Oryctolagus cuniculus: one gene and its partners. The protein of the gene in region 1 interacts with the protein of each later gene in a biochemical or structural test. Links are inferred from orthologs where the notes say so. Each region holds a gene or a part of one and is shown on either strand. Other genes may lie near its edges.

What was found.
Region 2: the proteins of PIN1 (region 1) and PML form a complex in vitro, tested with the Homo sapiens proteins (2 studies listed by BioGRID and IntAct). The link is inferred for Oryctolagus cuniculus from reciprocal best matches to the Homo sapiens genes PIN1 and PML.
Region 3: the proteins of PIN1 (region 1) and PKM form a complex in vitro, tested with the Homo sapiens proteins (2 studies listed by BioGRID, with this or other methods). The link is inferred for Oryctolagus cuniculus from reciprocal best matches to the Homo sapiens genes PIN1 and PKM.
Region 4: the proteins of PIN1 (region 1) and JUN form a complex in vitro, tested with the Homo sapiens proteins (2 studies listed by BioGRID). The link is inferred for Oryctolagus cuniculus from reciprocal best matches to the Homo sapiens genes PIN1 and JUN.
Region 5: the proteins of PIN1 (region 1) and CDC25C interact in a test that uses a peptide from one of them, tested with the Homo sapiens proteins (2 studies listed by BioGRID, with this or other methods). The link is inferred for Oryctolagus cuniculus from reciprocal best matches to the Homo sapiens genes PIN1 and CDC25C.
Region 6: the proteins of PIN1 (region 1) and PLK1 form a complex in vitro, tested with the Homo sapiens proteins (3 studies listed by BioGRID, with this or other methods). The link is inferred for Oryctolagus cuniculus from reciprocal best matches to the Homo sapiens genes PIN1 and PLK1.

The regions. Positions count from the first base shown.
Region 1 is NC_091447.1:67,377,256-67,382,412, forward strand, and holds the start of PIN1 (peptidyl-prolyl cis-trans isomerase NIMA-interacting 1), read right to left. Parts: upstream 3,265-5,157; 5' UTR 3,168-3,264; coding exon 3,110-3,167; intron 2,020-3,109; coding exon 1,804-2,019; intron 1-1,803. UniProt on the Homo sapiens protein: Peptidyl-prolyl cis/trans isomerase (PPIase) that binds to and isomerizes specific phosphorylated Ser/Thr-Pro (pSer/Thr-Pro) motifs.
Region 2 is NC_091443.1:109,482,738-109,487,597, forward strand, and holds the start of PML (protein PML), read right to left. Parts: upstream 3,336-4,860; 5' UTR 3,271-3,335; coding exon 3,142-3,270; intron 1,807-3,141; coding exon 1,343-1,806; intron 1-1,342. Other genes in the region: STOML1 (stomatin-like protein 1), read left to right, coding at 4,694-4,826.
Region 3 is NC_091443.1:110,893,146-110,897,506, reverse strand, and holds part of PKM (pyruvate kinase PKM), read right to left. Parts: intron 3,848-4,361; coding exon 3,577-3,847; intron 2,742-3,576; coding exon 2,591-2,741; intron 2,512-2,590; coding exon 2,359-2,511; intron 511-2,358; coding exon of another isoform or gene 344-510; exon of another isoform or gene 1-343. UniProt on the Homo sapiens protein: Catalyzes the final rate-limiting step of glycolysis by mediating the transfer of a phosphoryl group from phosphoenolpyruvate (PEP) to ADP, generating ATP.
Region 4 is NC_091438.1:114,258,316-114,262,237, forward strand, and holds JUN (transcription factor Jun), read left to right. Parts: upstream 1-1,690; coding exon 1,691-2,704; 3' UTR 2,705-2,805; downstream 2,806-3,922. UniProt on the Homo sapiens protein: Transcription factor that recognizes and binds to the AP-1 consensus motif 5'-TGA[GC]TCA-3'.
Region 5 is NC_091437.1:26,128,665-26,133,025, forward strand, and holds part of CDC25C (M-phase inducer phosphatase 3), read right to left. Parts: intron 1,751-4,361; exon of another isoform or gene 1,421-1,750; intron 1,151-1,420; 5' UTR 1,117-1,150; coding exon 923-1,116; intron 221-922; coding exon 126-220; intron 1-125. UniProt on the Homo sapiens protein: Functions as a dosage-dependent inducer in mitotic control. Tyrosine protein phosphatase required for progression of the cell cycle. When phosphorylated, highly effective in activating G2 cells into prophase.
Region 6 is NC_091450.1:15,668,289-15,672,649, reverse strand, and holds part of PLK1 (serine/threonine-protein kinase PLK1), read left to right. Parts: intron 1-758; coding exon 759-978; intron 979-4,361. UniProt on the Homo sapiens protein: Serine/threonine-protein kinase that performs several important functions throughout M phase of the cell cycle, including the regulation of centrosome maturation and spindle assembly, the removal of cohesins from chromosome arms, the inactivation of anaphase-promoting complex/cyclosome (APC/C) inhibitors, and the regulation of mitotic exit and cytokinesis.

The DNA of each region.
Region 1 (5,157 bases):
CGCCCCGACCGGGACTAGAACCCGGTGTGCCGGCGCCGCTAGGCGGAGGATTAGCCTAGTGAGCAGCGGCGCCGGCCTCAGTCTGTGGTATTTTATTATGGAGCCCAAGCTAACAGATCACTGTAACCATCCAAGGGAACATGAGTGAACAGACAGAGGGGTGCCTAATCCCAAAAAGGTTTAGGGACAAACTCCCTGCCCTGCCCTACAACTCAATAAGCTGCTTCTAGTCCAATGGCACCCAGGCACCAAAGGGGAAGGGGCCTGGGCAGGGAAAGAAGTCAGGATTATGTCCCCAGAAGACCTAAGATCCAGCAAGGGGCCCAGAGGCCCAGCCTAGGACCACTGGCCCTCCCTGGGTGGGGGATCCTCAGGTCGGGGCCTCCCTGGGACCCTGGGCACACAGGCATGGAGGGACGGGAAACAGGCAGGGATGGCTCCCCCTGGCTGGCCGCTTCAGGCAAGGACACCAACAGTGACACTGGGCGGGCCTCGGATTCCTGACAGCCCCTGGCGGCAGCCCAGCAGCTGCAGAGGAGCTGATGCTGGGAAGAGGAGCCTCTGCAGAGAGGTGGAGGCGCTGATTCTCGCTGCAGACGCGTCTCCCGGGGCAGCACCGGGTCCCAGTGGGCACTGAGGAGACTCGTGTGGGCCCAGGCTGCCAGCTGGGGAGGGCGCTGGCCAAACCATCGACTCCTGATCCTCTGGAACACAGCCAGACCGGGGGAGCAGTCACCTGCACACACAGGACAAGGCCCAGGCACCCAAGGCTTGTGGAAAACACACAGGATGTCTGGTTACTGAGTGCGCCACAGCCAAGGCCGGCTCACCACGGCCTCCTAGCAACCTCTGAGGGTCCTGCACCAGTCCCACCTCGAGCAGGACGACACTGAAGTCAGAGAAGGTCGCAGTCCAAGGTCACCAGAGGGTCTATGCTGAGCCCACCAGACCGCCCGTGTCCAGGCCCAGAGATCTTTCCAGAGAAGCAGCCCATGAGCCCAGGCCTTCCCTCGACCTCAGCTCCCCCATGCATATGCCTCAAGGACTGGGGTCAAGCCCCAGACACCGAGCCCACGGCTCCCGGCTCTTCATGGGGACACGCGCCCAGCCTACAGAGGCAGCCACCGAGGCTCAGAGAACACAGCTGCTCCAGGACACACAGCTGGCACAAGACCCCAGTCCTGAGGAGCCCAGGGTGTGGTGGGCCTCCCAAGCAGAGCCTCGCCCACTTCACACACCCCTGCATCCTCCCAAGTCTGTCTCCTGAATCTCTCTAGAATCCGCCTCCCCCTCATTTCCACCCTCGGCCCACCCCAGGCTCGAGCCACACTGCCTCTGCCTGCAATCTCTCCCACAGCCTCCACAGGCCCCCCCCCCCCCCCCCCGCGCTGGCAGCCTGCTGACATCCCCAAATCTCCACCTACGGAAGAGCGGGCCCGGGCCCACCTGCTCATGGTCTATCCCTTCCTAAGACCCAAGCTGGTGAGTGCAGCCCCACCGCAGCACCGACCCAGAGCTGGGAAGGCCGCTCAGCCTCCTGCCACCTTACCCGGATCACCCCACATGTCCTTTTGGCCTCCCTGCTCTGCTGAACCCAGACCTGCGTCCGGCTGCCTCCCCAAGTTCCGCCCCCAGCCCCCAGGATTTAAAGGGCCCCGCCCAGGATGAGCCTCTTCCCAAGTTCCCTCTGGCAGGAACTCCTGCAGCTCTACCTCCAAACGCCCTCTTCCTCCTGGAGTCGGCGAGCCTCAGAGCAGGGAGAGCAGAAGTGGAGAGGATCCCGGCCCGAGAGCCCCTGCTCACCGTTGATCAGCTCCAGGGCCTCCTCCTTGGTCCGGGTGATCTTCTCCTGCCGCCAGGACGAGGGCCGCCGGGACTGGCTGTGTTTGACGAGCAGGTGCGAGCAGCGGACACGCGCCGGCTCCCCCTGCCCGATTTTGCCTCCACCGCTGCTGCTGTTGCCGCTGGGGCGCTCCCACTGGCTGGCGTTCGTGATGTGGTTGAAGTAGTACACCCGGCCTGCGGGGAGGGCAGCAAACCCATCGCGTGTCCACCCTGCGCCACGGGCGGACACGGCAGCGCACAGCCCCTGTACTGAGGGGGCTCACATGCTCAGTGGGGGAAGACAGGCTCCAAACCAGCAAAGACGACAACAAGAGAACCCCAATGACTGCTAACTTCAGGGAAGAAAAAATAACACAGGGGATCGGGGGGTTCCAGCAACAAATCCAGCTGAGCCACCCACTGAGGCTAAGATGCTGTCTGTGGGCCTTATCTCCCCGAGCCTCAGTTTTACTCATCTGCAAAATGGGGGTGAGCGAATCAACACCATCAAACCTCCCCTGGGTCGACACACAAGGACTATTACTTCGACTGTGGCCACTGCGGGCTCCAGGGGCGGCAGAGGGACCCTAGACCTACTCAGAGAAGCCGGGCCAGCTCCTCGGGCGCTCGCGGTGACACAGGAAAAGCGCCAGGGGCCCTGGAGCAGGCAGACTGGGTTCCAAGCCGGCTCCAACCCCCCTGAAATGCACGATCTTGGAAGACATCCTTCCACTTCCTGGCCTCAGCGTCCCCACTTGTAAAATGGGCGCACCAACGACCCATCTCCCAGACGTGCGGCAATTCTCAGAGAACTAAAAACACGATGCGGGGTGCACACCTAACGGGGCCAAGCTTTCGATTGGGCTCCAAGCAGACTCAGGAAGAGGTGTGGCCGGCAGGTGTGTGTGCCACGCCTCTCTGCTCGGTGAGGGGTATCCCCCTCCCCAGGGAGTGCCCCGGGCCCAGCTCCCCGCAGAGCGACAGGTGCAGCAGGCCCGTGCTGGCTGCAGACAGCCGGGCTGGCAGACTCAGTGCCGCCGCCTCAGGGAGCGCCGCGGCCTCCCCGGCCCCTCCCCCGCCCCGCCCCCTGCCTCAGTTTCCTCCCGGCTCCTGAGCCTTGCAGCCCTCCACGGGGGCGGGCCGGCGCCGTTACTCCGAGGGCGACGCGGAGGAGCCCAGACCTCACGGGACGGAAGCGGGGGGCTCCTCCGCGCTCGAGGGCAGAGCTCGCGCCCTGCTTCCGTGGGCCCGCGCGGCCCTGCCCCGGCCCCGATCCCCGCGGCACCTGAGCTGCGGCTCATGCGCTTCTCCCAGCCGGGCGGCAGCTTCTCCTCGTCCGCCATCTTCCCTCCTGCCGCAGCGCCCGCTCCGCCTCCGCCGCGCCGCCTGTCACCCGCGCCCGCCCACCGACGCTGCCCATTGGCTCGGCGTTCTCCGCACCGGGGCCTGGCAGCGACGCTCATTGGACATTCCAACCGTCAGGATGAGCTCTCCGTCTTGCTACTGGGCAGAAGCGAGAGTGGGCGGATCCCCCCACGTTACACTGGTACCCGGCCCCTAGTCGGGCTCACTCAGGCCCCGCCCCTCTCCTCTCCTTGGCTCCTAAGTGGTGGATTAGAGACTCGAGACCGCCCTTCTCAACGCCCTTTGGCGAGAGCGAAAAAAGTCCCAACCCCCTTCTTGGCGCTCTTGGCGGGCGGAACCCGACCCGACAGGATAGAGCTTATTGATTGGCTGCCGGGGCAGCAGTTCCCGCCTGCCCGAGCCGTTCCCGGAAGGCCGCACGACCCTCATGCGGAAGCGTCTGGCCGCTGTGCAGGTTACTTGTGGGAGGAGGAGGCGGTGGTACCCGTGCTGTTGCCATAACAACGCAGTTGCCTTGGTGACGAGCAGCTCAGTGCCCGAAGCCTAAGTTTGGCTTCTCCAGCCTCCCTCTTCCCACCTGCTTCTTCCAGATGTCCAAAGCCAACCCGGCCTCGCTGGGCTAAACCATTTTCCCCCCGCGGGCCCTTTGGAATCTACTTATTTCCTCTCACTCTGGCTGCTTCCTCCTCCCTGGCGAGGAGAGCGCGAGAGGAGGCGCAGGTGGGAGAAGCATGAGCTGCTGCGGGGGTGGCCGGGAGTGCCAAGGGCTGCAGGTGAACAAGGGAGCGCTTTATCGGTGTGCCAGTTCCAGACCTAGCTCCTCCACTTCTGATCTGGCTTCCAGCTAATGCACCTGGGAAGACAGCGGATTATAGTCCCTGCACCCACATGGGTGCCCCTTAACAACATCGAGGCTCAGAGACGTGGCTCAGGGAAAACACAGAGGCAGGACGAGGTAGGAGGCCAAGGGCGCTGCGGAGCCACCTTGCTTGGGGGTGAGGGGGTGCGAGCAAGTTACTGAACCCCCGTGCTTCAAGTCCTCCGATTGCAAAGTCGGAGGAAGCAATACTACCACTTCTTCTGTCTGATGCGATGGTTAAGGAGTGGTCCCTATAAAGCACTCAAAACACTTCCTAGCCTACAGCTAAGATATGTTAAGTATTATAGGCTTATATCACAGCAAATTTATAGATTCATTAAAATGTTGACTACCAGTGGTGATACAAGTCAAATGACAAAAAATGAAGAACTTTTTAATGTTCTCATTTTTAAGCACATCTTAGCATAATAATTGTAAAAGATAATTGGAGTTGCAAAAATAGATTTCACCCAGCTGGCAAATGGGATAGCATTTGACACAGCAGAACGGAAGTTTTCACTTAGGAGCAGTTTTGTTCTCCAGGGGACATCTGGTGATGTCTTGACAGTTATGGCTGTCACAAAGGGAGGAAGGGACAATTTAGTGGGTAGAGGCTGTGGAGACTGCTGCACATCCTGCAAGGCATGGGCCAGCTCCCCACAGCTCAGAATTCCCCAACCCCAAATGTCAGCATTGCCACAGCAGAGAAACCCTGCCATGGAATAATCCTCAAAGCTAGGAAATCAACAGCGGTGTGAACCTCTTCACTACACACTGGTTCCATCTTCCCACTGTTCTGTAATGCTTCAGGATGGGCTTGTCTCACGCCAGCTCGCGGTGGGACTGAGGGTGTGTGTGGACCCTGGACTCCTCGCTCTGCATCACACCAGGTGGCTGATGATGTTCAAAATGCATTGCCGATTGCATTTAAGCTGTCTACTGCTGCAGAGAAAAACTGCCCTTCATGTAGGGAGTAACACCTATTTCAGTGTGTGTGGGTCAGGAATCTAGCTAGGCACAATGTAGCTCACGTCAGCAGGGTGGCTGTGGCCTCCTCTGATGGCTGGACTGGGGTAAGATCTACCTCCAAGCCAGTTCCTGTGGCTGCT
Region 2 (4,860 bases), on another chromosome or scaffold:
AAAGAAAAGCAAACCTTTTTTTGGAAGAATGGGGGACAGCTCCTGAAACCCAGGTAGCGGGACAGATTGGAGCGGGCGTGGGCAGCTCAGCGCAGACACACCCCTGGCTGCACACACCAGGCAGAGGGCAAAGGTCAGCATCGGAACACACAGGTGCCTGGAGACAAGCGCTACACTCACTCTTCGAAAGAAAAAAAAACAACAACAAACAAACCCAAGTGCAGCTCCTAGTAACCCACCAAGGAGGAGACACACCAGCCACTAAGCACCACGCCCGTCAAAAGAAACAAAACCGAAACCAGTGACAGCAGGTGGTGAGGGAGGGGGGACAGAAGCGGGGACTCGCCGCTGGTGCAGAAGTCTCTCTGGAGGCAGAGCCCAGCCCCTGGCAGTCAGCAGGTGCACAGCTCTACCCTGCCGAGCGAGGAGGAGCCCCTTCCCACGCACACGGACCCCTCAGAGACTTCTCTCATCTGCATCCGAGAGGGGGCTCTCCGAACGCGCCTGGGACACGGGCGTTAAAAGACACGCTTCTGTTGGCGCAAACATTTTGGGAGTCCTCGCACAGCCTTCTCACAGCCCTCATTTTCTGTGAACATGTTACAAATCTCTGGTCTCCACGGAAACTGAAATACTCAAACTCATCAGCACAGTTCCCCCAGCAGATGACGGAAGCTCGGAGACTCTGCGCCCTCTCTCTCACTCTCTCGCTCTCTTAAATAAATCTTATTGGTGGCCGGCGCCGTGGCTCACTAGGCTAATCTTCCGCCTTGCGGCGCCGGCACACCAGGTTCTAGTCCCGGTCAGGGCGCCGGATTCTGTCCTGGTTGCCCCTCTTCCAGTCCAGCTCTCTGCTGTGGCCCGGGAGTGCAGTGGAGGATGGCCCAAGTGCTTGGTCCCTGCACCCCATGGGAGACCAGGAGAAGCACCTGGCTCCTGGCTCCTGCCATCGGATCAGCGCAGTGCGCCGGCCGAAGCGTGCCGGCTGCGGCGGCCATTGGAGGGTGAACCAACGGCAAAGGAAGACCTTTCTCTCTGTCTCTCTCTCTCACTGTCCACTCTGCATAGGAATGGTTACATGCGTAAAAACAGAATGGAGCTTGCTGGTTAATACAGTAGTTCTGACCTGATTTGGTCGTCTTTGCTGTGGCGTCTGCCCTGGCTGCCGGTGCTCCGGCTCTGACCGCTGCACCTGCTCCTGGAATCCAGCGCCTCTGGCGGTCTGGTGACAGGTGTCTCCCACTGGGGTCACCACCACGGACCCCCCGATCTGCAGACCCCGGGCCCCCAGCAGCTCCGGCATGCCCCCACCCAGCACCCACGCCCGGCCGGGGCCACTCACCTGGTCAGCATCGGGCTGCGGTGGTTGGGGTTGGAGCAGAAGATGTTGTTGGACTTGCGGGTGCTCTCCAGGAACTGCAGCACTGACTGGCTGCGCAGCTCGGCCAGCGGCCGCGCCTCGTGCTTCAGGAACCACTGGTGCGCCTCGAAGCACCCGGAGCACAGGAGCTGCTCGCACTCGAAGCACCAGAAGTCGGCGGGCTCCTTGCAGCGCGTGCAGGCGGCCTGCATGTCCACCACCTGCTGGTGCACGGCCAGGCGCCGCTGCAGACTCTCGAAGAAGATGTTGTCCAGGACGGGCGCCCCGTCTAGGGCCCGGGGCCCCTGGCAGATGGGGCAGTGCAGGCCCGGCGCCTCCAGGCACCCCGAGCACAGCGTGTGCAGGCAAGGCAGCAGCTTGGGGCACTTGGCTTGGGTGTGGCAGCCCTGGCACTGCAGGAACTGGAAGTCTTCCTCCTCGGCTTGCTGGGGGAGGGAGGACAACAGGGAGGAGGTAAGGCCTGGAAAAGTCCCAGGAGTCCCCACTCTGCAGCCGCCCATCCGTCCCTGTGGCTGGGGGGGGGGGACCGGACCATCCCCTGCCACCCTGTCATTGCTCCACGCACGACCCAAGTACCCCATCTATTCAGCATGTGCTCATTGAGACCCAGCGGTGACCCAGGACACACCTCCACCTCCACGGAGCTCAGTCTGGATGGTAGGTGAGCCAGGTACCCCCTTCTACACAGATAGGGGGTTCCCCCCAAAGCTGCTAAGCACTGAGCCACCTTAGCCCTAATTCCCATCCCTAACTATCAAACTCTGAAAACAGAGGCCCACCAGCCCCCTGGGACCCCAGGGTGTGCACACAGCAGCACCGTTCCCAGCAGCCGGGTGCGCGAACCCAGGCCTCGCTCGACCCAGAGCTGGGCAGTGCAATGCGTTCTGCACGTGAAGGGACTGTCCCTCACGCAGCCCCGGGACAGAACGAACTCTGGATGCCTGAAGCTTGAAGACATCACGCTGAACAAACTACGCCAGACACGCAGAGAAACCCCGACTCGGGCCCGCTTACAGAAACAGCCCAGACGGGCACGTTCACAGTGGGAAAGTGGGTTAGAGGTGACCCGGGAGCCAGGCGCTACCGCGTGCAGGGCACAGTTTCCAGGGTGACGACAAAGCTGGACTTGGGGGGCAGGGTGGCCGAGGGTGAAATGCGCTCACTTAGGAGGGAGTCACTGGTCACTTCTTCCTGATGTCTCTCTTGCCACAACATATATATATAAAAAAAGTGCAGCCCCGGAAGTACTTCATCTATCACCTGGCACTAGGCAGTGCTAACTAGTCGGTGCTAACGGTGCTAACTTAGTGCTAACTAGCACTGCTAAGCCACCGATTCTTGGCTGTAATAACGCAAGGCCGTGCTTCCGAGCGTTCCCAGAGCCAGCCAACCGCACAGTGCCTGTGGGTGTGTGGGGGAGGTGGGGCGCAGGCGGGAAGGGGGTTCCCAGCAGGTCACCTGGAGGCTTCCGGAAAGAGATCACAGAAGCCGCGCGGCCCCTGCCCATTCACCTGTTCCGGGCGCCCACCGGGCCGCCGACTTCCACCTCCAACTTGGGAACTTGGAGTTGCTAGTCCCCTCCCTTTCCCACGCGGGCCCCAGGCGAGAGGCCGGGCACCTCTTTTGGTGCCTGGTCCTTTGTCCTGGTGCACTCTTTGAGGTACTTGGCCAAGTCTCCCGTTGCACCCCCCTCTTCCCACCTATCCCCCCTCCTCCCCCACCTCCCAGCGACCCCCTCCCCCGCCATGTGAGCGCAGTACCTCTGCGGGGCTGGGGCTACGTGGGGCACCTTCGGAGCGCAACTCCGGGGACGCCATGGTAGGGGTGCGGGTCGGGCCGGCGTCGCGCTGGGAGCCCGGGGACCCGGCGGGCGCGGGATCCTGCTGCATGGGTCCGGTTCACTTTCGATTCTCCGTCTGCATCGGGGAGGGCGGGAGAAACGGCACGAGAGGCTGAGTCAGGCCAAAGGGGAGGCGCCGGCCAGGGCCCGCCTCTCGGGAGGAAGTGACTTGGGGCGCGGGGAGGGGTCGCGACTGGGGCTGGGGGACTTTCCACTTTGATCACAGCTCCTGCAGCTCTGGCCCAGCCCCAGCAGGGGTATTGGGGACACAGGCCACCCAGGAGCTGACCATGTCCTCGGAGACCCCAGGCTGCAGCCCCGGCTGGGCTGGAGAGGGGGCTGGTCACTGGAGACTCAGGGCTTGGAGAGCTCGGAACGCCCTTTGATGTCGGTTTATGGGGTCCCAGCCTGCATTTCCTCTCGTTGCAGCACTGTCGCCCCCAGCTCTCCCGCCTTTGGCGTCCGGGATGCATCTCTACCCCCTGTTGATTCATCCCGTGCCCCTGTAGCTGACATCCCGGAGCGGACGCGGCTGGGACAGAGTTCTTCTGCCAGGAAGGACTCAGGCGTGAGACAGAGAGGCGCGGGCAGCAAGGCAGCAAGCTCTCGGGGGCAGGCATCGGTCGGGACCGACAGGCCCCTCTGCAGACGGAATCAGAGACGGCTTCTAGCCGCTCGGACCGAGGACAGCAAGGTCACACAGCCTGACGGAGGCAGTGCACCTGCTGGGCCAGGGGCAGCTGGGGAGATGCTGAGCGGTCAGTGCTTGGAAGGGCATGGGGTCCAGATCTTCCTCCCCCTATCCTCTTCTGCTGAGTGTGAAATTCCTGCCAAGTTTTCAGACTGGGCGAGAGAGGATTCTCCTAGGGTGTCTTCCTTAGGGGGGAGGGGAGGCTGGGGCCACCTAGGAGGTGATCAACACCGCGCTGATCCGATGGCATTATCCTGGTCTCCCTTGGGGTGCAGGGCCCAAGCACTTGGGCCATCCTCCACTGCACTCCCGGGCCACAGCAGAGAGCTGGCCTGGAAGAGGGGCAACCAGGACAGAATCCGGCTCCCCGACCGGGACTAGAACCCGGCGTGCCGGCGCCGCAAGGTGGAGGATTAGCCTAGTGAGCTGCGGCGCCGGCCAATTCTGGGGTTCTATAGCAGCTCCTCCAGCCGGGACTTGTCTACGCCACCACCCACCCCGAGCCAGCCGGGCTGTGTGGACACCTCGAGGAGCGTCCATCTAAGGCCAAGTACCAGCCAGGAGCAAGAGCAGGAGCAGGCCACACCCCCACGGCCCGGCCGCAGTGCGGTCCTCCCAGCGCTGGGTGGCGCCGTGCGACGGCGGGAGCAGCCCGGGCTGCCTCCTCTCCGGCCACGGCCGGGGCCGCGCAAGGGAAGCCGGAAGCGGCGGCCGCGGGGGCGGGGCCTGAGGGTTGGGGCCGGCGGTCAGCGGCGCTGGCCGCGCCCCCCTGTCAGGAGCCATGCTCGGCAGGTCTGGGTACCGGGCGCTGCCGCTCGGGGACTTTGACCGCTTCCAGCAGTCGAGCTTCGGCTTTCTGGGCTCGCAGAAGGGCTGCTGGTCCCCGGAGCGGGGCGGCGTGGGGCCGGGGGCTGGTGAGTGGCCGCCCACGCCCCAGCCCCCCGAAGG
Region 3 (4,361 bases), on another chromosome or scaffold:
CGTCCAGGGGGACGAGAGGGGACAGAGCTTCGTCAGAGCTTTGTCAGAGAGGGGAGGGGATGAGTCTACAGACAGCGGGTGGGGGACACGGCCCAGCAAGGCCAACACGAGCCTGAGGGCTGCAGCCCGGGAGCAGCAGAGCCAGACTCCCCGGGGGCGTTCCTCCACCGGCTGCCCGAGACGCCGCTGCCTACCGAGGCAGAGCCTCCGGTCCTGCCCTGTCCTGACCACCCTGGCTGTCTTCCTGCAGCTGAGCAGAGGCTCTGGGCCCAGGCCGCGCATCCTGGAGCAGCTGGCGCAAGAGGCAGGGTCCCCTGCAGCGTTACCTGGCCTCGGGCCCTACCTGCCAGACTCCGTCAGAACTATCAAAGCTGCCGCTAAACACTTATAGGAAGCCTCCACGCTGCCCATGGCCATGGCCTCCATGAGGTCTGTGGAGTGACTGGAGGCTCGCGCAAGTTCTTCGAACAGCTTGCGGTGGAACATGGCTGCCTCAGCCTCGCGAGCTATCTGTAAGGGTTAGGGGAGAGGGCAAGGAAGAGAGGAGGAGGAGGAGACAGGGAAGACAAGACACGGAAAGACAGAACGGGGGATTAATCAGGGAGGAAGGCACCCCGGGTTAATCGGGTCGTCAAGCAGAGGCAGAGGGTCCAGGTCCAGCCAGCATGGCCGCGGGCTCTAGCGCCGTGGCATGGAGACCTGCCCAGGCTGGACCTGACCACGCTGCCTCGTGACACAGATTTCGGGAAGGAGCAGGCCCCTCCTCACTTGGCTGTCTGGGTGTTTGTGCCACATGGAGGCTGCTTGGCTTGAGGCACAAGGGTGCTCTCCCCAGTGCCCGCCGTGGGAACAGACAACAGGGCTGGGAGGCAGGCGTCAGCAGCCAAGGCCACGCAGGAGAGCTGGCAGCACAGGCCAGCTCGCGAGGGCCGCCCTGAACAGCCATGTGAAGAGACACCCATGGGAGCATGCGGGGACGTCACAGGACGCTTGATTAACAGCTACTGATTAAAACAGGCGCGAGAGAGCTGAGTTACCACAGACCACCAGCTCAGGTGAGACTGAGAATCAGAAAGCGAGTGGAAGCGTTCGAGATTACAATGCAGTTCCCAGTGGCTTAGTCATCAACGGGCGAGGAAGGGTCAGCAGCACCGCCCCATTCATTTCATCTCCGAGCGGAAGCAGACGCGGGGAGCACCGCCGAGTTAACGATGGGATGAGTGCATGCAGCCCGAGGGACAGGGACAGGGACAGGAGCCAGGGCCATACCTGGTGCGGCCTAGCCCTGAGTTACGGGTCAGTGCATCAGTCCGAGCACGGACACTGAGAGGCGGCTGCCGGCTAGTGGCCTGCACCACCTGCAGGGCAGCCACATCCTGGCCCAGAGCCTGCAACGCCCTAAGCTGTCTGTCCATGGGAAAGACCAGTTAAGGGAAAGAGGCACAGAATTCAGAACCCAGAACCAACTCTGGGACCCAGAGCCTCGTTCTAAGTCCTACTGGGCAGGGGAACCGCAGGGAGAAGGCCGGCTTTGGGTCAGTGTCCTGGGAGTTCTTGTCCCACAGCCCTGGTTATGCTGGGAGCTGTCAGGATTACATCAGTGTACCAGGGACTTATCAGAACTAAAGCCAGCAGTCGTAGATCTCATCTAATCCAGCTTACAGACGAGGTCCTGAGAGAGTGGAGACTTCGCCCAGAGACACTTTCTGTAGTCCGTGTGCTTCAGACAAGGTCATCACCCTCCCGCTTGAGCTTACCACAGCACACAGACAGAGGAGCGTCAGAGACCACAGGGAGCCACTCTCCAGGTGACTGGGGCTCAAGGTGCACCAAGCCCGAGTGGCCTTGACAACCAGCCCTGGGCTCCCACCTACAGAAGAGGTCAGGCGGCTATGGCCCAGCCCCAGACTCCTGCAGATGACTCCAGTGTGAGGACCACCGGGGCTGGCCACCTTCCCAAGCCCCTCTGGGTCGTCTGGACTAAGTGAGGCAGCTGCACCCCCACAGCACAGAAGCCGGTCCCGCTGCAGGCACCATGCAAGGCCGGCTCACAGGCAGCTTGCTGGGTGCACACAGGCCCCGCAGGGAGTCCAGTCAGCAGCCAAACAGAGCAGCTGGGGGCAGGAGCCCTGGTGTCTTCCGGATCAGGCCAAAGGTGCTGAAGCCCCTGGACCTCTGAGGAGGGCGACAGGCATCTGCTGAGGGCAGCAGTACCCCAGGACTCAAGCGAAGGACTCGGAAGCTGGGGTGACTCCTCCGGACAGGAGCTGGGAGGCGGGGCAGAAGGGGCGCCCCACGCCCAGCACGTGCCTCACTTGTGCAGTGAGGCTCCGCGGAAGCGGGGCCCTGGGCACTCACCAGGTGCTGCATGCGGACGGCCTCCAGCGGGTAGTCGCCCTTGGCCGTCTCTCCAGACAGCATGATGCAGTCGGCTCCATCCAGGACCGCGTTGGCCACGTCACTGCCCTCGGCGCGGGTGGGGCGGGGCTTCTTGATCATGCTCTCCAGCATCTGGGAGGGGCAGAGCACGGGTGAGACCCTGCTGGACTGGGGGTGCACAGGGACGGGGTCCCCAGGGAGGGCCACATGCCTGCGTGGCACAGATGACAGGCTTCCCAGCACGGTTGCATCGCCCAATTATCATCTTCTGGGCAAGGAAGACCTTCTCTGCAGGAATCTCAATGCCAAGATCACCGCGAGCCACCATGATCCCGTCGCTGGCCTCCAGGATCTCATCAAACCTGACAGAGGGCGCAGGGACGAAACAGAAGTCATATTCCACAGGGGTCCCAAGTATGGTGACAGACAGGAAGCCCCGGCCACGACCCCTAACTCGGAGGGCCCGACACAGCACAGATGCGTGCACGTGGCCAGGCTCCCGGCTCCTGGGCCTCGACACCTTCTGGGATGCCCCGCCCCGCCTCTCCACCTGACCCTGTGAGGCCCTCAAGTGCTCCAGTCAGCATTTCCCAGGAAGGGCACCGACGCTGCTGGCTGCTTCCCACCCCAAGGTCGGCGGCCTCATCTAGCCAAGGACACCACAGGCATGCCCCAGGGAGGCAAGAGGGCACGCGCATCACCGGCCCGAGCCAGCAGCCCGGCCCATCAGGACAGCAAAGGCAGAGAGCCGAGCTCATGTGGTAGGAAGGATGCCCAGGCAGAGCCGGAGACGGCCAGAACACCAGGCTGTGGGCCCCAGGGCTGCTGCCGCCCTGCCCCTCACGAGCTACTGCTCTAGGAGGGGCCAGCTGGCCACACTGAGACGGCGGAGGTGGTCAGGCTGGGCTGGGGCAGCCTGGGGACCTGAAGAAGACCCCCAGGCTTCCCTCTGGGGGCGAGTGGCTCATCGCCAGGCCAGCCCTTCTGAGGGAAGACCAAGACCCCGACCCCGCGCTTCCCCACGGCCGCCGGTCAGGAAACGGTGCCAGCCCCCGTCCTGTGCGCAGGGGCCTGCTCTCTGGTGTGGGTCCTCCGGCCACGGAGCAACGTCAGACCGCCTGCACAGCCTTCCGCTGCAGTGTGCTGCCCAGCGAGCAGGCGCGAGGCGGGCTGGCCGGCTGGCGTCCGGGGACTCACCTGCGCACCCCCTCGTGGTTCTCAATTTTGCTGATGATCTTGATGTTCTTCCCTTTCTCTCCCAGGATCTTCCTGACCTCATGGACGTCAGCCGCCTTGCGGATGAAAGAGGCAAACACCATGTCCACGTCCTGCTCCACGCCGAACTTCAGATCCTGGATGTCCTTCTCGGACACGGCAGGCAGGTCCACCGCAGCCCCGGGGAGGTTCACGCCCTTCTTGCTGCCCAAGAAGCCACCGTTCTCCACCTCCGTCACCAGGAAGTCAGGACCTGTGGGCACAGCGAGCAGGGGATGCAGAGCTGCCAGGGCCCATCCCCCAGGGGACAGGGGAGCAGCAATCAGCAGGTGCCTCCCTCCCCGCGGAGGACCAGGGAAGCACACCTGGGGACCAGGGCCACGCAAACAAGCCCAACCCCCGCCCACAGCCTGTCTGCCCGCGCTCCCTCACTCGTTTGGGTGAGTGCCGTGGTGCAGGTTAGGCCGCCACTTGGGACGCCTACATCCCATAGTGGAGCGCCTCGTTCAGCTGCTGATCCGGCTCCCTGCTGACACAGCTGGAGGCACAGCTGATGGCCCATCCACGAAGGAGACCTGGCTCCTGCCTTTGGTCCTGGATGCCGTGGGCACCCGGGGAGTGAACTAGCAGACAGAAAATCTGTCTTCCCCTTTCTGTCAATCTACCTCTCAAATAAACAGAGCTCACCATACCACCATCTCTCCGCCAGACAACCAAGCTTCCTACCTCCCTACCTTCCACGAGCCCCGCAAGTCGGGAGGCCGGAG
Region 4 (3,922 bases), on another chromosome or scaffold:
ACAGCCGCGCGGACTGTCGCTCCAGAACTTGACCCGCAAACTTCGGCGCGTTCTCCACGTAGTGGTGTTGGGGGGAGGGGGGACCCGACTCTCGCGAGACCGCCTCCCAACTGGAGCCCACTTTCCGCTCGCCCCCACGGGGCACTCCGCGGAGCACCTTCAGGGCGGAGCTCCCGGCCCCCGGAAGTGCGGGGCGGGGTGGGGGGAGGGCTCGGACCGGGCGCTCGGCCTCCCAGCCCTGCACAAACGCTGGGGCGCCACTTGGAGCCCCCTCGACTCCGCCAAGTGGGGACACGCCCGCGCCCACTCGGCCCCAGGCAGCTGGCACAGCTCTCAGCCTTCCGTGACCCGCCATCCGCGTCTGGAGCCCTGAACTTGAGCCCCCGCCTCCGTCAGCGGCTGCGAGCGTCCGGCCGCCCGCCCGCCCGCTCGCTCGCTCGCGGCGGCCACCGTCACTAGACAGTCAAACCCCAAGACGTCAGCCCACAATGCACCGGGCGGGCCGGGAAAGACGGGCCGGGAGGGGACCGGGAAGAGAGGGGCTAGAGGCGCGCGGAGGGGGAGGGGGAGAGGAGGAGAAAGAAGGGCCCAACTGTAGGAGGGCAGCGGAGCATTACCTCATCCCGTGAGCCTCCGCGGGCCCGAAGAAGAATCTTCTAGGGTGGGGTCTCCATGGCGACGGGCGGGCCCGCCCCCCAGAGAGCGACGCGAGCCAATGGGAAGGCCTTGGGGTGACATCATGGGCTATTTTTAGGGGTTGACTGGTAGCAGATAAGTGTTGCGCTCGGGCTGGATAAGGGCTCAGAGTTGCACTGAGTGTGGCTGAAGCGGCGAGGCGGGAGTGGAGGTGCGCGGATTGAGGGAGACAGACACACAGACACAGTCCGCCCGCCCCGCCAGGACGCCCGTAGAGTGCGATCCGCACGGCTGCGTTGCTTTGCCAACTGCCCCGCGCTAGCGCCTGTGGATCCCGGGCTGGTGTTTGGGGGGAGCACCTGGAGAGCTGCTGCTTCTCCAGCCGCCCCCGGGGAGGAGAGCCCCACCGCACGAGCGCAGCTGACAGCCGCGGAGAGCGGCGACTGCAGCGGCCAAGAACTTTCCGAGCCGGGAGGACCGGGGACAAGTGGCCCGGAGTCCCGGAGCGAACTTTTGCAAACCTTTCCTGCGCTATTTGGGCTTGCCGCGGCGGCAGCAAAGAAAAGCAAGGCGGCGGAGAGAGGAGCGAAGAGGAGCGACGCGCGCGCGGCTCCGCTCGCCCCGGCCTCTGAACTTGACCGGCGCGAGCCGCTGCCGCCGGGAGCCCCCTGCCCCTCGCAGCGGAAGAGGGCACAGTCTCCGGGAGTCCGGGCGGCCGAGACCCGCCGCCACTGCGGGGCACCGCGCCGCGCCGCCGGGGAGCCTCCGAAGGGCGCGCAGTGAGTGACCGCGACTTTTCAAAGGCGGGCAGGCGCGCGCGAGCGGCCGAGGAGTGCGGGCGAGCGTCTGAACCCCGCCGCTCCCGGGAGCGGGGGCCGGTGAGCGGGGCGCCCAGGGGGAAGACAGCCCGCGGGTGCGCGCGCGCTCCGAAACTTTTCCTTTGCCAGAGGCCCGGGGAGGCGCGGGGTGCTCCCCGCCCGCCAGCGCGCTGTCGCGGCCCCGAAACTTGTGCGCGCAGCCCAAAGTAAGCCCACGTGAAGTGACGGACTGTTCTATGAGTGCAAAGATGGAAACGACCTTCTACGACGATGCCCTCAACGCCTCGTTCCTGCAGACCGAGAGCGGCGCCTACGGCTACAGTAACCCCAAGATCCTGAAACAGAGCATGACCCTGAACCTGGCCGACCCGGTGGGCAGCCTGAAGCCGCACCTCCGCGCCAAGAACTCGGACCTCCTCACCTCTCCCGACGTGGGGCTGCTCAAGCTGGCGTCGCCCGAGCTGGAGCGCCTCATCATCCAGTCCAGCAACGGGCACATCACCACCACGCCGACCCCCACCCAGTTCCTGTGCCCCAAGAACGTGACCGACGAGCAGGAGGGCTTCGCCGAGGGCTTCGTGCGCGCCCTGGCCGAGCTGCACAGCCAGAACACGCTGCCCAGCGTCACGTCCGCGGCGCAGCCGGTCAGCGGGGCGGGCATGGTGGCTCCGGCCGTGGCCTCGGTGGCGGGCGGCGGCGGCGGCAGCGGCGGCTTCAGCGCCGGCCTGCACAGCGAGCCGCCTGTCTACGCCAACCTCAGCAACTTCAACCCGAGCGCGCTGAGCAGCGGCGGCGGGGCGCCCTCCTACGGCGCGGCCGGCCTGGCCTTTCCCGCGCAGCCCCAGCAGCAACAGCCGCCGCCGCCGCCGCAGCCGCCGCACCACCTGCCCCAGCAGATCCCCGTGCAGCACCCGCGGCTGCAGGCGCTCAAGGAGGAGCCGCAGACCGTGCCCGAGATGCCCGGCGAGACGCCGCCCCTGTCCCCCATTGACATGGAGTCCCAGGAGCGGATCAAGGCGGAGAGGAAGCGCATGAGGAACCGCATCGCCGCCTCCAAGTGCCGGAAAAGGAAGCTGGAGAGGATCGCTCGGCTGGAGGAAAAAGTGAAAACCTTGAAAGCGCAGAACTCGGAGCTGGCGTCCACGGCCAACATGCTCAGGGAACAGGTGGCACAGCTGAAACAGAAAGTCATGAACCACGTTAACAGCGGGTGCCAACTCATGCTAACGCAGCAGTTGCAAACGTTCTGAGGACAGACTGTCGAGGGCTGAGGGGCGACGAAGAAAAAGAAAACAAAACCAACAGAGAGACAGTCTTGCGAACTTGACCGGTTGCGACAGCGAGAAAAAAATAAAAAAGACGCGTCCGAGGACTAAGGCCAAGGGTATCCAAGCCGGGCTGGGTTGCGTCCTGACGGCGCCCCCAGTGTGCACGAGTGGGAAGGACTTGGCGCGCGCTCCCCTTGGCGCGGAGCCAGGGAGCGGCCGCCTGCGGGCGGCCCCGCTCGGCGGAAGGGCTGTCCCCGCGCCATCACGACGGTAGACTTTTCTTTAACATTGACCAAGAACTGCATGGACCTAACATTCGATCTCATTCAGTATTAAAGGGGGGGAGGGGCGGGGTGACAAACTGCCATAGAGACTGTAGATCGCTTCTGTAGTACTCCTTAAGAACCCGACCGGGAGGGCTGGGGAGGGGCGGCGGGGGGCGGGGAGGGAGCCGGGGAGGGCCAGGCTGAGCCTGCAGATACACTCTTTCTGGCCTGCCTTCGTTAACCGTGTATGTACAGATATCTATTTTTTAATTTGATGAAAGCTGATTACTGTCAATAAACAGCTTCATGCCTTTGTAAGTTATTTCATGTTTGTTCGTTTGGGTGTCCTGCCCAGTGTTGTTTGTAAATAAGAGATTTGGAGCACTCTGAGTTTACCATTTGTAATAAAGTATATAATTTTTTTATGTTTTGTTTCTGAAAATTCCAGAAAGGATATTTAAGAAAATACAATAAAATATTGAAAAGTAATCCCCCCCAACCTTTTTTCTGCATTATCTCTAGATGCTAGGTAATCTGGGTGCAATCAAGAGAGTTTTAGTGTCCATCAGGATCGCTCAGTACTTATTGCTTTCAAGCAGTACAAACTCCTGGATTCCCTACTGAACTTTAGAAATAAGTGGTCCTGGTGTTATCATCAGGTCTCAGACTTCCCAGTTGATCACCAGAGGGTAGTGGGGGGTGGGAGAGGGTGGGTCCTGGGGACTGGAGGAAAGGGGGTTTGGGGGCAGAGGGGCAACCCACTGGCAAGTCAGACACCTCAAAGTTTGGGATTCCATCAAGTGGCAGGTGCTGGGACCGTTTGTAATGTTGGTCGAAATTTAACAGTACATGCTTATTCTCAAAGCAGGAACCCGGGGCAGATCTTAGAAAAGATGTATCCTTCCAATTTGGAATCTTCACTTTAACAATGCTA
Region 5 (4,361 bases), on another chromosome or scaffold:
CCAGAAAATTCAACTCTTTAGAGGGGATCTCTAACCTACTTTCTCTGATTTCTAAATCTAATCTACTACCCTGTTCTCTCCCATAAAAGTTACTGGTCCACTTGAGGTCTCGAGCTTCTCCCTACCGGTTTCATCAAGTTCTGCAGAAGTGGTGAGCTGAGTGGCAAACATCTCCCCATTGCTAAGATTCGAAAGATCAAGGCAACGTTTTGGGGTTTCTCTGTTGAGACATAACAGTACATTAAGATCCCTGTTAGATCGTAATATCCTTAAAAGGCAAAGGTCATTTGAAACACCTTTAATGTCTATAACATGAGCTGAACAGTGTCGAAACACGAGTTAACCTAGTTGATTTTTGGAAATATCTCAGACTGGGCGGAGAAAAATCTCCCACATTTTCTTGACTCCAATAATCAGTACCACATTATCTCTTCATCAACATAATGAGACAGTATCACTCTATTTTTATGGGGCTCAACTTTATTTACAAAGGGATTTCTTTACCTCATCATGTCCTCTGTGCTGTGCACCATGAACACACAGATTTGGTTTCTTCTTGAAATCTGCTACACTTCTGTTTGGTAGCCAAGGTATCACGACATGGTATGGCCAGAAGTACAAGACCACCACAGCCAATATTACCAGAAATAAAGTGAACAGCTCACATAATGATATGGAGTTTTCCCAGATATCACATTATTTGACTCTTACCAGAACCCAGGAAGACAGGAAGAGATTATTAGTTCCATGCAACAGAAAAGTAGTCTGAGATTCAAAAGGGTCAGAGCAGAGCTGAGACTCCAATGTTGATCTTTGAGCCAGGATAATTTAAAAAACAAAACACACACACACACACACACACACACACACACTTGTTTAGAGAAGTCAAGGATATAAGCTTTAAGAATAAAGGTGGATTTACCCAGACAAAACGCTGAGATTTGCAGAATCACCAAGCAGTCTGTCCCCTGGAGTTCTCGGGAGCTCTGGACAGAGGGTAAAGGAATTGTCTCTCTCCAAGAGCAGGTGTAGCATCTTCCTCTGATTGGACCTAAAACTGGGGCCTGAGCCAAAGCTCCCCTCCTCTCTCGTGGACGAAAAGAGATCTGCAGCCATGGTCTCGGAGCTCTCACCAAGGAAAAGGCGAAACCTAGCGAGAAGAGGACGTCGCTCCTGTAAGTGCAGCGCAGCCCCTTCCGATTCCAACCCCCTCAGGTCTGCAGTCAAGGGGACCGGAGCCGCACCAGGGGCATCCCCAAAGGGCGGATCACAGCCTCGCTCGACGCCTAAGGCACTGGCCCGAAGCGGCGGGGCTTTTGCGTCAGAGCCTGCACTTACTGAGAGGCAACCTCAGGACTTTAACCGCGGAATACAGACAGACCTTCCACCTGCTCAGAGCCACACAACTGGACACTCCTACCTGGAAGGGGCTCAGCTCTCCCAAGTCATGGCAATGCCCATTCCGTCCTCTGAACTAATCGAGGGGACAATGAGGTCCTGGGCACTCTGTGGCGGAGACAGCGGCCAAATTTACCTCACGTTTGTAGTCTGACAACGGCCTTCGGGAGAAAGTGGGTAGCGGTCGGACACGAGCGAAGACTCGAGCAGAATGAAAGGACGCGGTTCACCAGCTTGAAATTCCGCTTGTCCACTGCGTAGGCCAGGGTCGGGCTTCGCCGCCCCTCAGGTCAGAAAGCCAGCGCTAGAGCCTCTGGACAAGCCCATCAACAGCCGCGAGTCTCGACCATTCAAACCTTCCGCCCTCCCACTAACCTATCCCCGCTGGCCTCCAAGACGCGTCAGCCAATCTCCGCGCGCCCGCCCACATCCTGGTAGCCAATCTTTTGGCTCGTACCTCACCCGGGGGGCGTGAGCAGGTTCCGGAAGTGGGACAAAACATGCCCCACCCCTGGAGCCAGAGCAGGATGGCGAGTGGTGCACTAGCGTCGGGCAAGCTTGTGAATAGGCTCCGCCCCGCAGGGAGCCTGACGCACCACTGGCTCTCCCTCTGGCCAATCGCCACACCTTCTCTGTACTTTCCCTTTGCCCCGCCCCGCCAACCCCGGGAGATTTAAATTGCTCCTCGTTAACCACCACCATTTGCTAGGATATTAGAAGAGATAATTAGGAGTGTGAGGGTGTTTTAAGCATTATTTTTTCCTTGCTTTTCTTGCGTCGTTATGGGACCTTTCCGTCTTAGCTAGCTTTCCTCTGAGGACCAGGCATTTGCTGCGGGGTGGCAGGTGGAGGTGTGAGCAGGTGTGTGTGTTTATGCTAAGCAAGATAGGTGCCTTCCAAGGAGCTTCCGTTGTCCGGTGTCCCTTTGAGAGCGCAGCAGCTCACAGTCGATAATTATGTGGGTAAAAAGAAATTGCTTCTCAGGGAAAGTAAGGAAATTGAATCATCCAGGCACAATCCATCCTTATCACAGTGCAAAAGATCTTTAGAAATCTGAACACTGACTAGTTGAAATTTTTTAATACTGGGAAGATGCTTCTTAATAATTGGGTGGTTTATAGATGAGATTTGTCATGACTCTTGGGTAATGGAGGTGTCCATCATATTAGGGTTTCCTAAAATTTAGTTTTGCCTTCTAATCATCTGGAGATCCTGTCAAAATGCAGAGTCTGTTCAGCAGGGCTGCATTGTGTCCCAAGATCCTGCACTTTAAACAAATGCCCAGCTGATGTTGAGGCACTTGGACTTGGGACCATACTTAGGTAAGGGATTATGCTATACTCGTCACACTTCAGTGTGTATTTAGAATGGCTCATATTAAAAAAAAGCTTTATAAGCTTATAAAAGCTGTTTAAAATGCAGGCCCCAAAAAAGATGTTGCCACAGGTGTAGTGTGGGGACCAGGTATTATCAAGACCTAACCACCTCACCCCAGGGTACTACCCATACAGATGGCTCACAGACCCCACTTTGAGAAATAAAAGTCAGAAATGCAAACGTTATCTTTGAGATGCAGTAAGTCAGCAATACAACTTATATTGACCTCAGGATCTTGGTGATGGTAGTGAATGAGCAGTGCAGACTAGTCAGATGAGTTTTATTTTAACTTTTTCATCTGTGGAGCCTGCTTCCCCAGAAAGGAGGTTTGTGAACAGTCTTTGTCCTCCAGGACAGAGGTGCTGAGTGTGGGAGTCAGCACAAAGCCTTACTCTACCAAATGAGCTGGAAAATCAGGCAGGAATTAAGAGTGTGTGCATTGATTTCTGCTTCGATGTATTTTAAAGGGAAGTCAAATTTTGTCTTTTGTATCTTGACTTCTGAGGGGATTGGAATATATCTAATTTACACTTCCCAGAAGAAAGAACATCAGGATAGTAAGAAGCTAGGTGTTTAGACTGACATGAAGATGAAGATGTACTTTTTCTGTTAGATAGAGGATATTGATCTTATGTCATTCCCAGAAATTACTATCTAGGCTCCCGATTCACTGTGATAAGCAGTGAGCTGTGTCTCTTCATGTTGACCTCAGTGTGACCCATATTTGTTATTGCCAGGCCACAGTGACAGCCAGGGCTTCACCTTCAAACCTCAAACAAGAACAGAAGGTACAGCCATTGCTCCTCAGATATCCAGATTAGGTAATGGAGAAGGACCTACACACCTGGGACCCCTACCCACCTCCGGCCAATCTCTACAGGGCAGGGTGTCACTACTGCTTACTTCCATGAGTGATGGACTGAGTTCTGCCTCTCCCCACTTTGAAGAGGTTTAATTTTCCCTGGGTGAAAAGGGAGCGTCCGCACGAATGCATCTGCCTCTGACTTTGCTACCTTTGTAGGCAGGGAATGGAGCGACCCCTCAAGCCAATGGATTCTTCCCTTTGGAGGACTTCCTGGATGACTAGCACCAGGCCCTGGAAACCTCATTGAATTTGCATGGACACCAGAAGGGGGCCCAGGAAGCATACTCTGCTGAAACTCTTTGGAGCAAGATCACAGGTGGGGTCTGATCCATGAGGGAATAATTAAGATTGGACTCCGGGGCTGGCGTTGTGGCATAGCTGGTTAAGGTGCTGCCTATGACACTGGCATCCCATATAGATGCTGGTGGTTTATGTCCCAGCTGCTCCATTTCCTTTCCAGCTCCCTGCTATGTGCCTGGGAGGGCAGTGGAGGATGGCCCAAATGCTTAGGCCCCTGCACCCACACGGGAGATCTGGAGGAAGCTTCTGGTGCCTGGCTCAGCCCGGTGACCATTTGGGGAGTGAACTGGCTGTTGGGGGATCTCTCTCTCACTCACTCTCCCTGTAACTTTATCAAATAAATAAAAATAGCTATTTCAAAAAATTAAAAAATGTAGAGATGCAATGACTTTGAATAGCCCTTGTTTCTACTGTTAACACT
Region 6 (4,361 bases), on another chromosome or scaffold:
CTTGGCATATGTGAAGCCAAGTGCTCTGACTGTGGGAGGACAGAGGAGTGACGGCCTCAGAGGGTCAGACTGCGGTCAGACGTGGGGTTGGTGCTGGCTCCTGTCACTCCCGAGCTAGATGGGTATCCTTAGGCAAGGCCCCCACCCTCTCCGTGCCTCAGCCCCCTCTGTAGAGGAAGGCAGACAGACATCCCTGCCCTTAGGTGCGGTGTGTGTGAGGTCCACGAGAGTTAGTGAACAGCAAGCGCTGAGAACACTGCCCCGGCGCATAGTGCGTGCAGAGCCAGTGCCAGGCTGTGGCTGCCCCAGCCTGTGCGAGGACAAGCCCATCGAGGCTTCTGAGCAGGGCCCCAAGCTTGGTGCTCACCGTCCTTTTACAGATGCGGCCCCAAAGGCCCTACAAAGCGCAGGTTGCTTGTCGTAGCTGAGATGAGGGCAAAACGGTGTTTAAACAGGTGCAAGACCTCAAAGCCTGTGTCCTCAAGGCGCTGCAGTGGAGACGAGCAACTTTAGGTGTGCAAGGGCAAGTCTGGGGGAAAACAGCTTAATCTGGAGTTCCAAGAGGGAAGAAACGTGATCCTTCTCACTCGTCAGCTCCGTGAGGTCGATAAGGGGGAGCTTGGCGATGTTCTTAGTTGTGGAACCATGGCTTACTTGAGACCCGGAGCTGCCCTGTGGGCTGTGGTCCCGCTATGACAGCACTGCTGTCCCAGTCCACGGCCACGCCCGGCTCAGGGCTTTCTCTGTCTCTGCTCCAGCACATCAACCCTGTGGCTGCGTCCCTCATCCAGAAGATGCTGCAGACAGACCCCTCTGCCCGCCCGACCATTAACGAGCTGCTCAGTGACGAGTTCTTCACTTCCGGCTACATCCCTGCCCGGCTGCCCATCACTTGCCTCACCATTCCACCCAGGTTCTCAATCGCTCCCAGCAGCCTGGACCCCAGCAGCCGGAAGCCTCTCACCGTCCTTAATAAAGGTAAAGCAAGGGGAGGGTCAGACACAGAACCCCAGAGAGAACCGAGGCCCCTAATATCACTTCTTCATGCTTCATTGAAGGAGACAGGAACAGTTTCAAATACACACCCTGAGCAGGCTGTGGGAGCCTCCAGGTCCCCACCATCTGAGCAGTCACACCTGCCCTGCGGAGCCTTCCCTGTTTCTCTGATATATTCTTAAAGTTAACCTCAGACATCTTGCCATTGTACCCATAACTTCAGTATGCGGCTTCGATTTTCTTAGGAAAATCTAACGTCACGTGCCATTACCTAGGTTGTCATTTCCTCTGGGTCTCTTCTATAGGACAGAGTCAGGAAATACTTACTTTAAAGGGGGACATCTGGGTGTATGATAATGTTTGCGATTCCCTTTTTCGTAGCATTTTATTTTGCTATTATTTCAAGGTTAAAAAAAGGTGGAAGAACAAACAGGAAGCTCCTCTTCCGTCTACCCTGTTCCCTAGATCCACCAGTTGCCATTTTTTTTTTACATTTACTTTTATCTTCTTCCTCTACCTCCCACGTATACTGCACATGAGGGTACTTCAAAAAGTTAATGGGAAAAAAATGGAATTAGAAGTTTATTTTGGTGCGAAGTTGAACCTGTAGTTTTTCATAATACAGGTTTTTCCATTAACTTTTTGAAGACATCATTCATTTGCATTGCATGCACACAGAATTGTTTAAAAGTAAGTTGTGTATGTAAGTATTCCATTCTTACCCTTAATACTTCAGTGTGTATTTCCTAAAAACAAAGATTATTTTATATAACCACAGTGCATAACAGTTATCAAGCTCAAGAAATTTAACATGGATACAATATAGTTTTAGAGCAATCTTCTTTTTAAAATATAGACTTATTTATTTTATTTGAAAGAGTTACAGGAGGAGAGAGAGATCTTCCATCAGCTTGTTCACTCCCCAGATGGCTGCCATGGCCAGGGTTGGGCCAGGCCGAAGCCAGGAGCCAGGAGGTTCATCTGAGTCTCCCATGTGGGTACTGGGGCCTGAGGACTTAGGCCATCTTCCACTGCTTTCCCAGGTGCAATATCAGGGAGCTGGATCGGAAGTGGAGCAGCTGGGACTAGAACCAGCGCCCATATGGGATGTCGGCACTGCAGGCTGCAGCTTAACCCGCCACGCCACAGTGCTGGCTCCAAAGATATGTTGTTTTGTTTTTTTTTTTTAAAGTAGCTTGAAATACTTCCTCTAGGTGTATCTCAGTTTGATAGACAACTTAAGTTCATTTGTTTGTTAGTTTTCAATATTTAGGGATTACTTTCTAGAATTTTATTGTAGAATAACTTTAGGCTTATACAGAAATTCTAAAAGATAATAGCAATTGCAGAGAGAGTTCCCATATACCCTTCCCTTGGCTTCCCGCGCATCAGCGTGTTGTGTAACCACAGAGAAGGACTAAAACACAGGGCAGTATCTTTTCTTTTTCTTTTTTGAATTCTACTTTTCACTTTGTAAATTTTTTTTTAAGATTTATTTGTTTTACTTGAAAGTTAGAGTTATGCAGAGAGAGAGAAGGAGAGGCAGAGAGAGAGAGAGAGAGAGAGAGGTCTTCCATCTGCTGCTTCACTCTCCAGTTGGCCACAATGGCCGGAGCTGTACCGATGCAAAGCCAGGAGCTCCCCGCTTCCCGGGTCTCCCACGCGGGTGCAGGGGCCCAAGGGCTCAGGCCATCTTCCACCACCTTCCCAGGCTATAGCAGAGAGCTGGATAGGAGGTGGAGCAGGCGGCAGCTTCACTGCTCCCCCTCAGCGTCGGCCCCGGTAGTTTCACACTCCAGGCTGTCTTGGGCCCTCGTCAGGTTTTCCACTTCCGCTCTTTCTGTGGATTTGGAGTTCCTCGCGCTCACACTGAGGTTCTAGACTTTGGGGGAGTGCAGCAGAAGTGATGCGCCCTTCTCCGTGGACTCTGGTTTGTTTCGTGGGTTTTTTTTTTTTTTTTTGGACAGGCAGAGTTAGAGAGAAAGGTCTTCCTTCCATTGGTTCACCCCCCAAATGGCCACTACGGCCGGTGCGCTGCACCGATCCAAAGCCAGGAGCCAGGTGCTTCCTCCTGGTCTCCCATGCGGGTGCAGGGCCCAAGGACCTGGGCCATCCTCCACTGTACTCCCGGGCCACAGCAGAGAGCTGGACAGGAAGAGGAGCAACCAGGACAGAATCCAGCACCCCAGCCGGGACTAGAACCTGGGGTGCCAGCACCACAGGTGGAGGATTAGCCTAGTGAGCCGCGGCGCCGGCTCCATGTAGTCTATCAGGGGTACACATTGATTTTTTTTTTCTCTTGTTAGTGGTGGTGTTTATTAACTGTGATCACTTGGTTACCGTGGCATCTGATGGGTTTCTCTTATTTTTATCTGAGAGAGAGAAAGCTCTCATCCACTGGTTTGTTGCCCAAATGCCTGCAACAGCTGGGTCTGAGCTAAGGCTGGAGCCAGGAGCTCGGTCCAGGCCTCCCATGTCAGTGGCAGGGACCCAGTTACTTGAGCCATTGCCAGTGCCTCGGAGGGTCTGCATTAGCAGGAAGTGGTGAGTCAGGTGACACGCAGGTGTCCTAACCGATGTATGACTGCTAGGCTCAGTGTCCCGTGCCGAGTTTAGCGCCCACGGCGGGGCCTGCCTGCAGCAGTGCTCACTGTGTTCTCGTGCTCTTTCTTTTCCCTGCTCCTGCGTTTCACTAGTTGGCCCTCTAAGGAAGAGCTGGCCCTCTCCTTGTTTGCTTATTTATGTCAGTAATGAACTCAAGGATTGTTTATTTTGTTCTTTGGGCTATATTAATATAATACTGGGGTTTTTTAAGGATTACTTTTCAGTTTAATTTTGAACTTACAGCTTTTTTTAAAAACAAAAAACTTCATGGATGTTTTCAACTTTACCCAAAGGCAGAGAGAAGTGTGCCGTGACTCCCCACGTGTTCGTCATCCGTTGTCAGTAGTTACCAGCACAGCTACTAGATTTTGATCTGTTCCATACCTTCCTCCTCCTCCCCTTTTTTCCTAGTTTTTAAAGCAAATCCCTAATATGTTACTATTTCATGCTTGCATACCTGTCACAGCATAGTTTTTTTCTTAATTGAAAACTTCTTTTAGGAAATATTTCAGGAGAATTAGACATGTTGGTGGGGAAAAGAATTAAACATTTAAGTATAAAGATAGTAATATCCATGCTTACTACCACCCAAATAAAACCAACTCCTTTGACTTATATAGAAGTACATAAACAGATTCTGGGGGTGGAAAAAGTTCCCATTTTCACTGAAAAGCAACTGAATCCATTCCACTGAGGGGTTGTAATTACTCATCCTCCTGACCCCCCAACTTCTGGGATGCTAAAAATACTTGTATGTTTAT